Linked DNA regions of Schizosaccharomyces pombe. The gene in region 1 interacts genetically with each later gene. Each region holds a gene or a part of one and is shown on either strand. Other genes may lie near its edges.

Evidence for each region. Genes that interact genetically often act in the same process or in processes that back each other up.
Region 2: of wsc1 (region 1) and mtl2, extra expression of one rescues a mutant of the other (dosage rescue), as found in Schizosaccharomyces pombe (one study listed by BioGRID).

What each region holds. Positions count from the first base shown.
Region 1 is NC_003423.3:1,297,171-1,303,008, forward strand, and holds wsc1 (transmembrane receptor Wsc1), read right to left. Parts: upstream 4,110-5,838; 5' UTR 3,446-4,109; coding exon 2,321-3,445; 3' UTR 506-2,320; downstream 1-505. Other genes in the region: SPOM_SPBC3D6.16 (uncharacterized protein), read left to right, coding at 1-90; SPOM_SPBC30B4.09 (uncharacterized protein), read right to left, coding at 1-63; sqs1 (G-patch and R3H domain-containing protein), read right to left, coding at 4,771-5,838.
Region 2 is NC_003424.3:3,957,730-3,963,445, reverse strand, and holds mtl2 (protein Mtl2), read right to left. Parts: upstream 3,698-5,716; 5' UTR 3,549-3,697; coding exon 1,938-3,548; 3' UTR 532-1,937; downstream 1-531. Other genes in the region: HECT-type ubiquitin-protein ligase E3 Pub1, read right to left, coding at 33-55, 107-123; SPOM_SPAC2F3.16 (ubiquitin-protein ligase E3), read right to left, coding at 4,840-5,379, 5,442-5,546, 5,602-5,716.

The DNA.
Region 1 (5,838 bases):
AAAGTTTCCAGTGCTCATTTTAATCCTTCGACTCTGTTGTTTCTCCTGAAACGTCTGGGCCATCCTGTATACCTAAGAGAGGGAGAGTAAAAAAATATATATTAACAAACAGAAAACAGGGTTTTTAGTAATTGAACACGCAAGAAAACCAAGGATATGCTAGTCCTAATCGAATTGCTCGTTCGTTGATCAATATAAAAAGAAGGTTGATTCAACGGGGTCCACAATTAAGGTAGTTCTTAGCGAACAAGAAAATTAACCAAAAATTGGTCTTATGAATAATTAAAGGAATTGGATTTATGAAAAGCTACTACAAAGCTGTTCCGCAATGAGTTATAATGCTGCCTACTTAAGATCTAAGGATAAAGGCAGTAGGTAAGTGTACAGAGAAGTGGAAATCTCTCTCTTTTTATATATATGTGGGTGTAAATACGTGTGGGGGGAAGGCTGAACTACTACACGTCACACAATAGGGAAATTCGTCAATAAATGACGCAGCTGCGAATCCCTGTTTATTTACGCTTGCGAAAAGACGGAAAAAATTTTATTCAAATTCTAACAAGAATGTAGTAAACAATGATTAGGTGGTGCAACGATTTACACTAAACCACTTTCAAATCAAAGCGTTAAGTGATTGTGAACGTATAAATAAAAAATGGGATGGATTGAATTTGGATTATATGTTTAAATAATTAAGTGGAATTTAACTAAAAAGTACAACAACAATATCATGAGACGATCTAACTGTCAAGAAAAGAAAAGGAACATTTTTAATGATTCGGTAACAACCCAAATTCTTCTATAAAAAAACAGGACTTTTAACAGCAGCCTTTTCTTTTCGTTTTATCCTTGTTTTCTTAGCTTCGTCTTCAAGTTAAGGTCCTCAATGGGCCATTGATGAATAGTAAATCAAAAGAAAGGAGGGAATAAAGGGGGGAGCTGCATATAAACCACAGCGTATCACAACACAATGAATGAATGGTGAGATGGCACGCATTTGCATAATTGACACTGAGACTGACATTTGAAGTGCAAATTACGCTTGCATACGACTTTGGATACTTTATGCTTATAACTTGTTGGTTAATAGTCGTCCGTTAAACTTTTCTCTTTCTCTGTCAATTTTTTTCCTCTTGTTTCCTTATTTCCTGTTCCCTTCTCCCTAATGGTTTTGGAAGAGTAAAAGAAATAGGAAACTAGAAAAACCAAAGACGTACTTGACTTGTTGAAACTTATAAAGGAAAATAATAACCGCAAGTATCTCCCGTGCTAAGATCAAGTTGGTGTTACACAATATTATACAAAAAAGAACCATCATTTAATTTATCCATACATTGCATAAATGAACCTGACACACCAAGCACACGTGTATATAACAGGTAAGCAAACGGTATATATATACGATACATAGATATCCAATACATATACACCTGTCCACTAAATAGCATGAAAAAGGGACAACAAAAACAAAAAAAGAACAAGAGAAAGGATAAAAAAAGAAGATAAAGAAAGGAGAAGTAAATAAAAATAAAGTAAAAAGAAAAAAACCATAACGTGCACAAATTAGGTAGCGCCAAGATCTAAACAAATTAAGATGTAGACCAGGTGAAAAGTGGTTTTGTGAAGATCAAACACCAATCGACCAGGAAAATAAAGAAAAGAGAAAACTTAGCGTGTTCATCATATTGAGAAAGGGTAGACAAATGTACAAAAGATCGCTACTAGACAATAGCGTCAAAGACACAAAAACAACCAATTAGATAACAACAAAAAGAAGTAAGACAACGAGAAAAGAAAAGGAAAAAAATAAAGAAAGAAATAAAACCAGTTTTGCCAAAACAACTATTGCATAGGAGTTTAGCCTTTCCAAATTATCTTATTAAATTTAAAAAAAAAATCAAGGTTTAGCCGATAAATCAAGCCAACTTTGCTTTCTTTCCCAAGTCCCAATTTCATCAATTCATAATTGACGGTTATAGAAAATAAAGATAAAGCGAAAATGAATAAGAAAAAAATATGAAACTGATTTGTCACTAACACTGCAACGGTTTAACACATATTGAAAACAAATCCAGTTTCCCGAAAGAAAGATAAAGAGAAGAAGAAAAAGTAAAGAACGAATAAAATAAGGGAAAATAAATAAATAAGATTATGCCAACAGAGAACCGACCATAAAGAACTTTTTATCGTTACCAAAATGATCACTTTTCCGATCATATGCAAAAGATTTGTAGCATACGATTATGAAAGTCATAAACACCATAAAGAAGAAATAATTTTTTGGTTGAATTTAAATAAAGTAAAAAAGAAAAATGTTGTTTTAGTTCAAATTTGTGACACGCAATATCTTTCTCGAATAATCCTGACTGTCAGCCAAAGATTCACTTGATTTGCGATTCATCATGGCAGGATCCAAGCGAGAATCTAATTCACTAGCATAGGAGGGATATTTTCCTTCATTTGCCGAGTCGCTCATTCTAATTTTGAATCTCCTGAAATAGAAGTATAGGAAAATGCACAATGCCATTACCACGGCGAATGCCACACAACCGATAACAATACCCACAATAGCACCTGCATTCAAGGACGTATGGTTTGACGCCTTGCTTGCATTTAGAGCGAGGGCAGCCGTACTGCTTGGAACTTCACTACTGGTTGAAGAAGAGGAACTGCTTGGTGTTACTGTGACAGTAGAAATAAAAGTAGATGAGGACATGGTCGTGATAAACGACGAAGACGAAGATGGCCGACTAGAAGATGAAGAGGAAGATGAGCTTGAAGATGAAGAAGAATGAGAAGAACTGGTGGAAGACGTTATTGGTACGGAAGAGGAAGAACTAGAAGACGAAGAGCTGGAAGAAGACGAAGAAGACGAAGACGAAGAGGAAGAGGAAGAGGAAGAGGAAGATGAGGAAGAAGAAGAAGAAGAAGACGAAGAAGAAGAGGAAGACGACGAAGACGAAGAAGAAGAAGAAGAAGAAGGAGATGTTGTTGTTGTAGTTGAAGATGAGCTTGGAGATGATGATGAAGACGAAGAGGTCGTAGACGACACTGACGAGCTAGAAACCGTGGTTTGCAAAACCCCATTGCCAGTCAGATAAACCGACCAGTACAGATCACCACCACACATAAGAGAACCATAACCTGGACAAGGCGTTGTGCAAAGAGAACTTGAAACTTCTGTAGCAGTAAGTGTACTACCGCAATAACATTGATTATTACGGATAGCTACAAATGCTATATTATCAGATCCACCACAAATGTTGTTATAGCAATACGCTGGATCAAGATAGGTAAACGTGCCTTGTTCAGTTAAGCTACTATCCACGAGATAACAGCCATATTGAGTGTTCATGTCAGCCGCCACCAACCGAGTAGAAATTATCAAAAGGTAAACAAAAAATAGTAACCTCCCCTTAAAGGGAGAGGAATTTAAAAAGACCATGGAAATTAAATCGTGCGTAAGTATAATAGGAATGAAAATTAAAACTTAAATTTGGTAATAAAAATTTTGCCCTCAGTAAATTAAGTTGTTTTGTCTATAGACTAAAGAGAAAACAAATTATTGGACCAGTTAAGAGAAATATTATCAAAAGGCGCAAACCGAATGAAAGAAAAGAAAGATTGGGTAAATAAAATAAAGAGCGTAAAAATTCAAATGCCAATGAAGAAAATAATTGTTGCAAAATCACTTCTTTATCAACATGAAAAAGAAAACAATAAAGGATAAAGGCTCAGCAACGCAAAATCAAGAATTATTAAGACCGAGCAGTTGGTGAAAAGTACTCAATATCCAACTTCGTTTGTTCCGAAATTAAAAACAGAATTTAAAAAAAGAACGAATAAAAAGTAAAGAGTAAAGATTAATTCAGAATTAAAAAAGAACGCGAATTCCTGAAGTTCAACAAAATACTCGGGGACGAAAGTACAAACCCGTACCGAACTTGGCTATCCACAGAGCTTCCGTTTGAATCGTTTCTTCGAGCTTCCCAGGCTTGAAAACTCCTTTACTTTAAACAATACACTAGTTCCTTAATAAGGATACAGTGTTTGACAGATTGTCGTCAAAAAACACTTAAGAATTCGATTAGTTGTTAAGTGGAAAAGTTAGCTCCGACGGGCCCCATAAAGGCTGAAGTCAGTCGAACCTAGGCGAACACTATTGACCCTTACCGAAACGGTATTTTTGCCTTATACTATTTAACGAATGAAAAAGGCTCCGATTGATACTTGGTTGAAACTGCGAATAGTGCGATGTTGGGTATCACTATTGACCGATATTGCCTGTTAAAATGACCTAAACGTTACTTTACATAACTCCTTATACTGTATTACACGTGTTATATATTAAACGCTAACTGATTTTACGATTATCTTCTTTAAATAGCAATAATAACTCTGTACACTGCGATATCACCGTTTTGTAGAACTTCTTTAGCTGCAGTATGCCCATAGCAGCAACTTACATATTCAATTGCTCCTGTAGTGAGAATAATTATTCTGTCTATTTAAATGAAGTTTATATCTTAAAATAAAAGATAGTTATCTTTCTGGATTTCCGGTTTATCTCTTGAATGGAAAGACACCATGTCGAAGTACCCACGGTTAATTTTTTACTTCACATCAATATGTACAAATCGCTAATTTGAATATGATGCTTAACCTAGAATAGTATATATTTATATATATATATATATAAATTGGAGTATTATCTCAAGTAAATAAGACACAGCTGATTAGTTTCTCGGTTTGACCAGTCACCCTGGTTTTCTAACCTAAACCACTTCTGCTAACTTTAACAATAGCACGTAAACTATCTTTGGAACCTTCATTTTCGGGATGACCAAGTCCTTTACCTGCATACCATCCTAACTTTTCGAGCAACCGACGACCTGGATTTTCTTTGCTAATTTCAGGGGCATCTTCTCCAACAATTTGGCCATCATATACACGTGTGGCTTTACTCGACCTCACAGAGGAAACAGTCATTCGAGATTTCCTACCAGATTTGGAAAATGACTGATACTCAACCCTGGTCTGTAAACGCTCCATAATCCTGGTAAGTGAAACCAAATCCACACTAGATGCATCAAATTTATGAGTTTTGGAAAGCATAGTATACCGCTTGTTTCCAGATCCATAACTTCTCGACTTCAAGTTCAAATCGTTGGCAAGCGCATGAACCAATCGACGAACATATTTTCTGCATGGAGGAAGGGAAATTTCTTCAATGGCCGAGTGCTTAAACTGTTGCATCCGTTGATAAACATCATTTATAAATATCTTATCAATTCGTGTAAGACTAGCATTGTCAGAATCGGAAGAAGACGGCTTCTGGCTTTCGCGCAAAAGTTTCTTTTTGCTTTTCTTTCCAAGTAGCCCCTCAGAGCGGAGTTTCTCCCTTTCCGCTCGTCTTCTTGCCTTTTTGCTTTTATCTTTAAGCCATTGTTCTTGCAATTCAGCGTACAAGTTCATGCTCTCATCGTCCAAAGAATTGGAAAAGGCATCTCCCATTCTAGCGGCCACAGCCTTTCCTGCCTTTCTCTCTAATTTCTTTTGAGCTTTACGCATTTTTTTAGGAAGTTTGCGATCTTTTTTCAAACCTTTTTCTTCTTTTACCTTCGCCCCTTTTTTGCTTTGAGAAACTTTTTCCGTTTTTTGAGTTGAGGGGTTATTGTACTCTTCATCCTCACTGTCATAATCATAAATAGTAAAATCATTTTGCAAAGTATCTCCAATACTAAGGTATGCCTCAATCTCGGAATCATCACTAGCATCAAAAATTGCCAAAAGCTCTTCTTCATCTTCATCTTCATCTTCTTCCAAAATATCATCTTC
Region 2 (5,716 bases), on another chromosome or scaffold:
GCACAGGGCATTTGAATAATGTCATCACATACTTGTTACTCGAATTCGACGAGATCTAATCATAAAAGTTAGCAAATGTGTTTATAGCAGTTAAAGAACTACTTACTGAGCTGAGTTTGACATAGGGGGAAAAGATGGTAAAATTTCAAACCAGCGTTGCTTTTGGATAATAAAAAAAAGCCAATTTCCCAAAGAAAGTCAAGTATTTGTGCTTGCAAAAAAAACTTTCAATTAAGGCCGTTTTATCCTTTCTATTTGATACAAAAACGCTTTTTTCGGGAACGAAATAAATAAAAAAGAACTACAAAAGGAATCCTTAATCAAATTCGTGCTTTCAGCGCACAATTTTGAAATCCGTCGGATTTCGCGTGGTGTTGGCTGAAAGGAGAATTAATCGGTCTTGCAGATTAGATCCTTAACGCATTATAACCCATTTCCTTATATATATACAACGCGATTACCAAATTGTTCTTTATCTTTTTTGGCGTACAGAAAATACGTTTTACGTGTTAACTACGAAAGTAAATATCATGCAGCACAATGTATGATTTGCAAGCTATAAGCATTTAATAAATTGATTTAATACGAAAGAATGAGGAAAATGTATATCTAACCACTTTGCGTTCAAGTGATAGTTAGAACTGAGAAGAAAGAGAGGAAACGAAGAATTGTAAAAGGTACATACAAGAAGGCAAACGGAGTGCCGCGAATAAAAGTAATAAAGCCAGAACTTAGCAACAACTCTTAAACAGACAATGCTCAAAATTTTTATTTTTTAATTATCAGTAGTCGAGCATGCTGGCCAAAACAAAGTTAAGTAAACATCCAGCCACACGAGAGAAAGTAGAGCTAGATGGTCCTCAACATGACGAAAGAGTAAGAGCGATAAGTGCAGCGAAGGGAACGTGACGCTCCATTACATATACGAGACGGTGAAAAAGGAACGGAAGGAAAAGAAAAGGAAAAAGTACAGTATGTACATTTATTTCAAAGAAATGAGATAACGAGATTGGTTAGGCGACTGAAAGTAAAATTGAAATGGCTGGTCATAAAGACTATTTGCTATCCACTTTCAATAACAAGAAACCATGGGATGGAAAACAGGTAGCTGTTAAAAGTTTCATTTCGTTTTACACTATTCAGGAAAATTGGCTTTCCGTCGCATTTGACAAGAATTCGCCATTCTGTAAAGAAATGTACAAATGAAAAAACAAAGCGAAACGGCGAATGAAACAGAAATGATTGATAAGTAATGAAATGCAAATGAGAAAAGGATAAGAATAAACAAACCAAAGAGACTTTTTTAAGGGTTGTATCTCACTACAGTGAAACAATTGAAAGAAAAATTCAAAAGTCAGTCAAAAGATGAAGTCGATTTAAAAGCAATAAGTTAAGGAACCAGATGACATATTTAAGACTTTGAATGAAATGCAAGCAACGAAATTTTCTTAAAAAAAGAGGGCCATGAGAAAAAGCAAATAGTTAAGTTTAAAAAGAAAGTTTGAAAGAAGGATAAATAGTTTGCTAAATAACTCCTTTTTTAAAGAAAGTAAACCGACGGACCAATTGATTGTATGAGATGGTATAAGCGAAACCCATAATAATAACAAAGCTTTGCAATGAGAATGTGAATTTCTAATACCATAAAACTGTTCAAGCAAAAAGGAAATGAGTGAGTAACGGTAAAACAAAGAGATAGCAATAAGATTGAAAAGATCGATTACTTAAGATTTTCGTAAAAAACAAAGGTAAAAGCCGAATAAAGAAAAAGTTGTTATACGAAAAAGTGATGAGCAAGCTTTTCTTCGCAAGACTTTCTACCATCAATTGAAGGCAAGCGTAACTAACGCATTTATTTTAAGCGACGGATATATCCAGAAATTGTAAACAAATAATTTTTGCTTAAATCTATCGCAACAAGTGTTTAAGCGCATACTTTAAAACAGGTTCAACCTGCGAGCTTCCGATGACGACCGAGGAATAGAAACGTTGCTACTTGATGGGTTGTCAGCAAAAGGTGAATAATTGGGCTGGTTAGAAGCACCAGTGCTTGTTGGGGAAAGAAGATTGCTTTGAGATCGACTAGACAGAGCTGCCCTCGAGCCGTAAGAGGATTCTCCAGCTAAATCACTAGCCATGCTTTCACTGTCACTTTCAGGAATCGTAGCTAAAGGACCTTCTGGATAGGAATCTGAACCAGAACCACTGTGTTCTGCAGCTTCGGCCGCAGCTCCAGCGGCACCAACAGCAGGGCCTGACTCAAACGGAGATGCAGACAAACCTTCAGAAAAGTTGCTTCCATTAGATGGAGGCATTGTAGCTTCAGCTTCGTTAGAAGCAGAAAGATCAGGTGGATTTCCAATCGGTCTAACCATACGGGCTCCTTGAGGACGAGTAAAGCTTCCACCAGTATTAGCTGCATCAGAAGCATCAGCACCGACACCAGCAGCGGTAGCAGCTGCAATTGGACCAGCTGAATTACTACTGCCACCCAAAAGGCCGGGCTGAGAAGCTGCAGGCGGATTGGCTCCGCCAGCGCCGGCAGAAGGTCTAGGAGCAACAGGCCGTCCGTTAGTATTGTTTCCAGCAGCAGGTGTTGGGCTTCCATTCCAGCCACGATACCTGTTATTAGTAGAGGGAGCACGATTTGGGCTACGGAAATTGGAGGGTTGATTGGGGTTAAATCCGTATTCCTCGACTTCTTGCATGCGCTCAGCCTTAATTCGTTTGGACCGTTGATGCCTTTTCCAAAGAAAAATTCCTAAACCAATCAAAATTAGAACTACACCAACAGGAATAGCAACAGAACAACCAACAACTACGCCGACATGATTGCTTGACTTGTTAGATTTACTGGGCAAAGTGCCACTGGAAGAATAAGAAGAGCTAATAGGCGTAGACGAAGTGCTGGAAGTGAAAGAACTGGAGGAATTCCAATTATTAGTAGTAGTGGGGGTCACCACTTCAGAAACGTAAGAAGTTGAGACCAATGTGATTATTGAGGGTCCATCTCGATACGTACTACTGACAATGCTGGCTGAAGAACTCAAGCCGCTCGTAGTCATGGAAGAGCTGTGGTAGGAAGAACTAGATGATGGGACACTAGACGAATGGCTTAAGGAACTACTGGACATCCCACTGGAGGAACTACTAGCGACAAGAGAACTACTGCTGCTGCTAAGCGCGTGACTCGAACTACTGGAGGTCGGGGAAGCACTGCTACTGGAAGTCAGTGTAGCACTGCTACTAGAGGTCAATGAAGCACTGCTACTAGAGCTTTGTTGGCTGCTTGATGAGACCAAAGATGTGATAAAAGAAGAAGAAGCAGGAGAAGTAAAAGATGAGGATGAAAGAGGTGAAGACGATGATGAAGAACTAATTGCAGTAGCACTAGACGATGAAAGCATAGAGCTCGAACTAGAAGGAATCACGCTTGAGCTACTCAAACTCGTACTAGCAGCAGCAGAAGAGCTGCTTGCCGGAATACTGCTAGAAGCAGATGAGCTGAGGGAAGTGTCCACACTTGAAGTATTGTTCGTGAATGACATTTTCTCTTGCGTGCGAATTCCCTTACAGAAAGAAGGTTTTTTGAAGTTTTTAAAAGAACGTTGGATTTTTTTTCTAGAAAAATAATAAGATCTCGTCCAATTTCAATGTATCTTGATGAATTCCCTTAAAAGCACGGTGAAGAGTAAGCGGTAAAGAGAAAATGTCGCGGTCCTGCTTGGCTTTGCCTATAGGTAAGGGTGATGCACTTTTCAATGTGGGGATTCTTTCCGAGTTAGTTTCGAGGCTTTTTTTCACCTTACCAATATGTTACCTATCAATGCTCTAGCAAAGAACCTTAAAGTTACGAACCAGGTGAAATTTTACTAAGGCAAATTATTCATTTCAAATGGCTGGATAAAAAGAGATCGCCGTTAACTTGCGCTTAATGAGAAAGCTACCACAGTTTTCACATACTGCAATATTCATATAGATTTCCCTAATTTTAAATTACTAAACATCCGCAACAGTAGATGCCATTTACTACTGGCTTGAAACATATGGCTGCATTTGACACTATCGTTTCCACGCGGTAATTGAGTTAACCACCTTACATAGTAACAATGTATTGAAATTTTATTCATGCCAAATTAAATTGATATAGTAGAAAATTAGTATTATCGCTTCATCTGACTAGTAACTCCGACTAACAACCCATCCACGTTACTAAACCTGCTCTTAAGAGACAACTGCAAGTGTGGTAAAAAAATTTTGTAGTTGGATGCTGCTAAAGAATCACAACGACAGATAGAAAAGTAACAAGAATAGTTGCAGTAACTTGACGAATGATCGCATCTTCTAGACAAAAAGTCAGTTTAAAAGGAATCTGAAGGATTAGATGAATATGGAATGACAATAAACTCTTTATTTAATGAATGCCAGCCGTAAAAAAAATCAAGACAAATAACATATAAGTCATAATAACAGGAAATTGAAATATTGAGAGAGGCCCAGAATTGCATGAAGCAAAGTCCTTATGTTTGCGAATGTTTCAAGACACCATAGCTTCACACAAAAGTAGATGAGTTTAGATTAATTAAAACAGAAATTCTCTTCATCGAGGAAATTTAAGCGATTTACTTCATACCATCGCTTGACTTGTTGAGAAAAAAAACCATATAAGAAGTAGATGCAAAAGGACGAGAAAAGGGAATAAATATAATCAGACAATTGGGGTAAACGTTAAAAATTCGTAATTCTTGCAAAGAATTGAATGAAAATAGCAACTTTTCCAAAATAATAGTACATATAGGATAATCGTAACAGTTTAGGAAGTTCATAAAGTTAGAAAATCTATATAAAACTGTGAATCCCGAAAATATTAAAGTCTTCATCGCTGTTGTCCCAAGAATGTCCCATTAGCCGTCGCATACCGGCATCCTCAGCGGTTGCCAGTCGAGGGATAGACACCTGTGGGTGATCCAAAGGTTTGTAAATTGATGAAATACAAGTATTGTAAGAATGACATGAATTACATTTATGACCCAAGAAATGGTATTTCGTATCACAACGTGAGTTACAGTCATTGCAACGGATGGTAGAAATCCAAGTGTTATAGGGATAAGGCATGGGTTGTCGTTCAATTTCCATATCTAAAATTCGAAACAATGAATTGACATTAATGATCGTTTTGTAACAAGTAGGACAACGATAATTGGTTCTTATATATTCTTCATGACATCGCTGGTGCAACGGATGAGAGCAACTTAAAAAGATTACGCGTTCGCGAGAGTTAAACATGTATTCACCACAAATTGGGCAATTACAATCCGTACTTCTTTCGATGCAACGATGAGTATTGAAAACCGAAATAGGTAAACAAAGGCCACAAGTCTACAGCTGTTAGAATATGAGTTTAAAAAGCAAAGCATGTGCTAAAAGTACACGAAAGTTACCTTGCAGTGGAAATAATCATCGCCAAGACCGCGTCCTATTCGACAAATACCACAATCATCACAATGATAGCTACTTTTATTCGGATCGTCATCCCAAAGTTTGCACTGTTAAGTCATGTATTAGTGATATTGAACAAGTATCAAATAAAATATCACATACCTTATTGCAGTAATATCGGCCCATACAGTTCTTACAGTATTTGCAATATTGAGCTGCTGGTTGAACCTTGGAACATATCATGCAAAGCATGTTTTCTACGGCAGGTCGTTCTAAA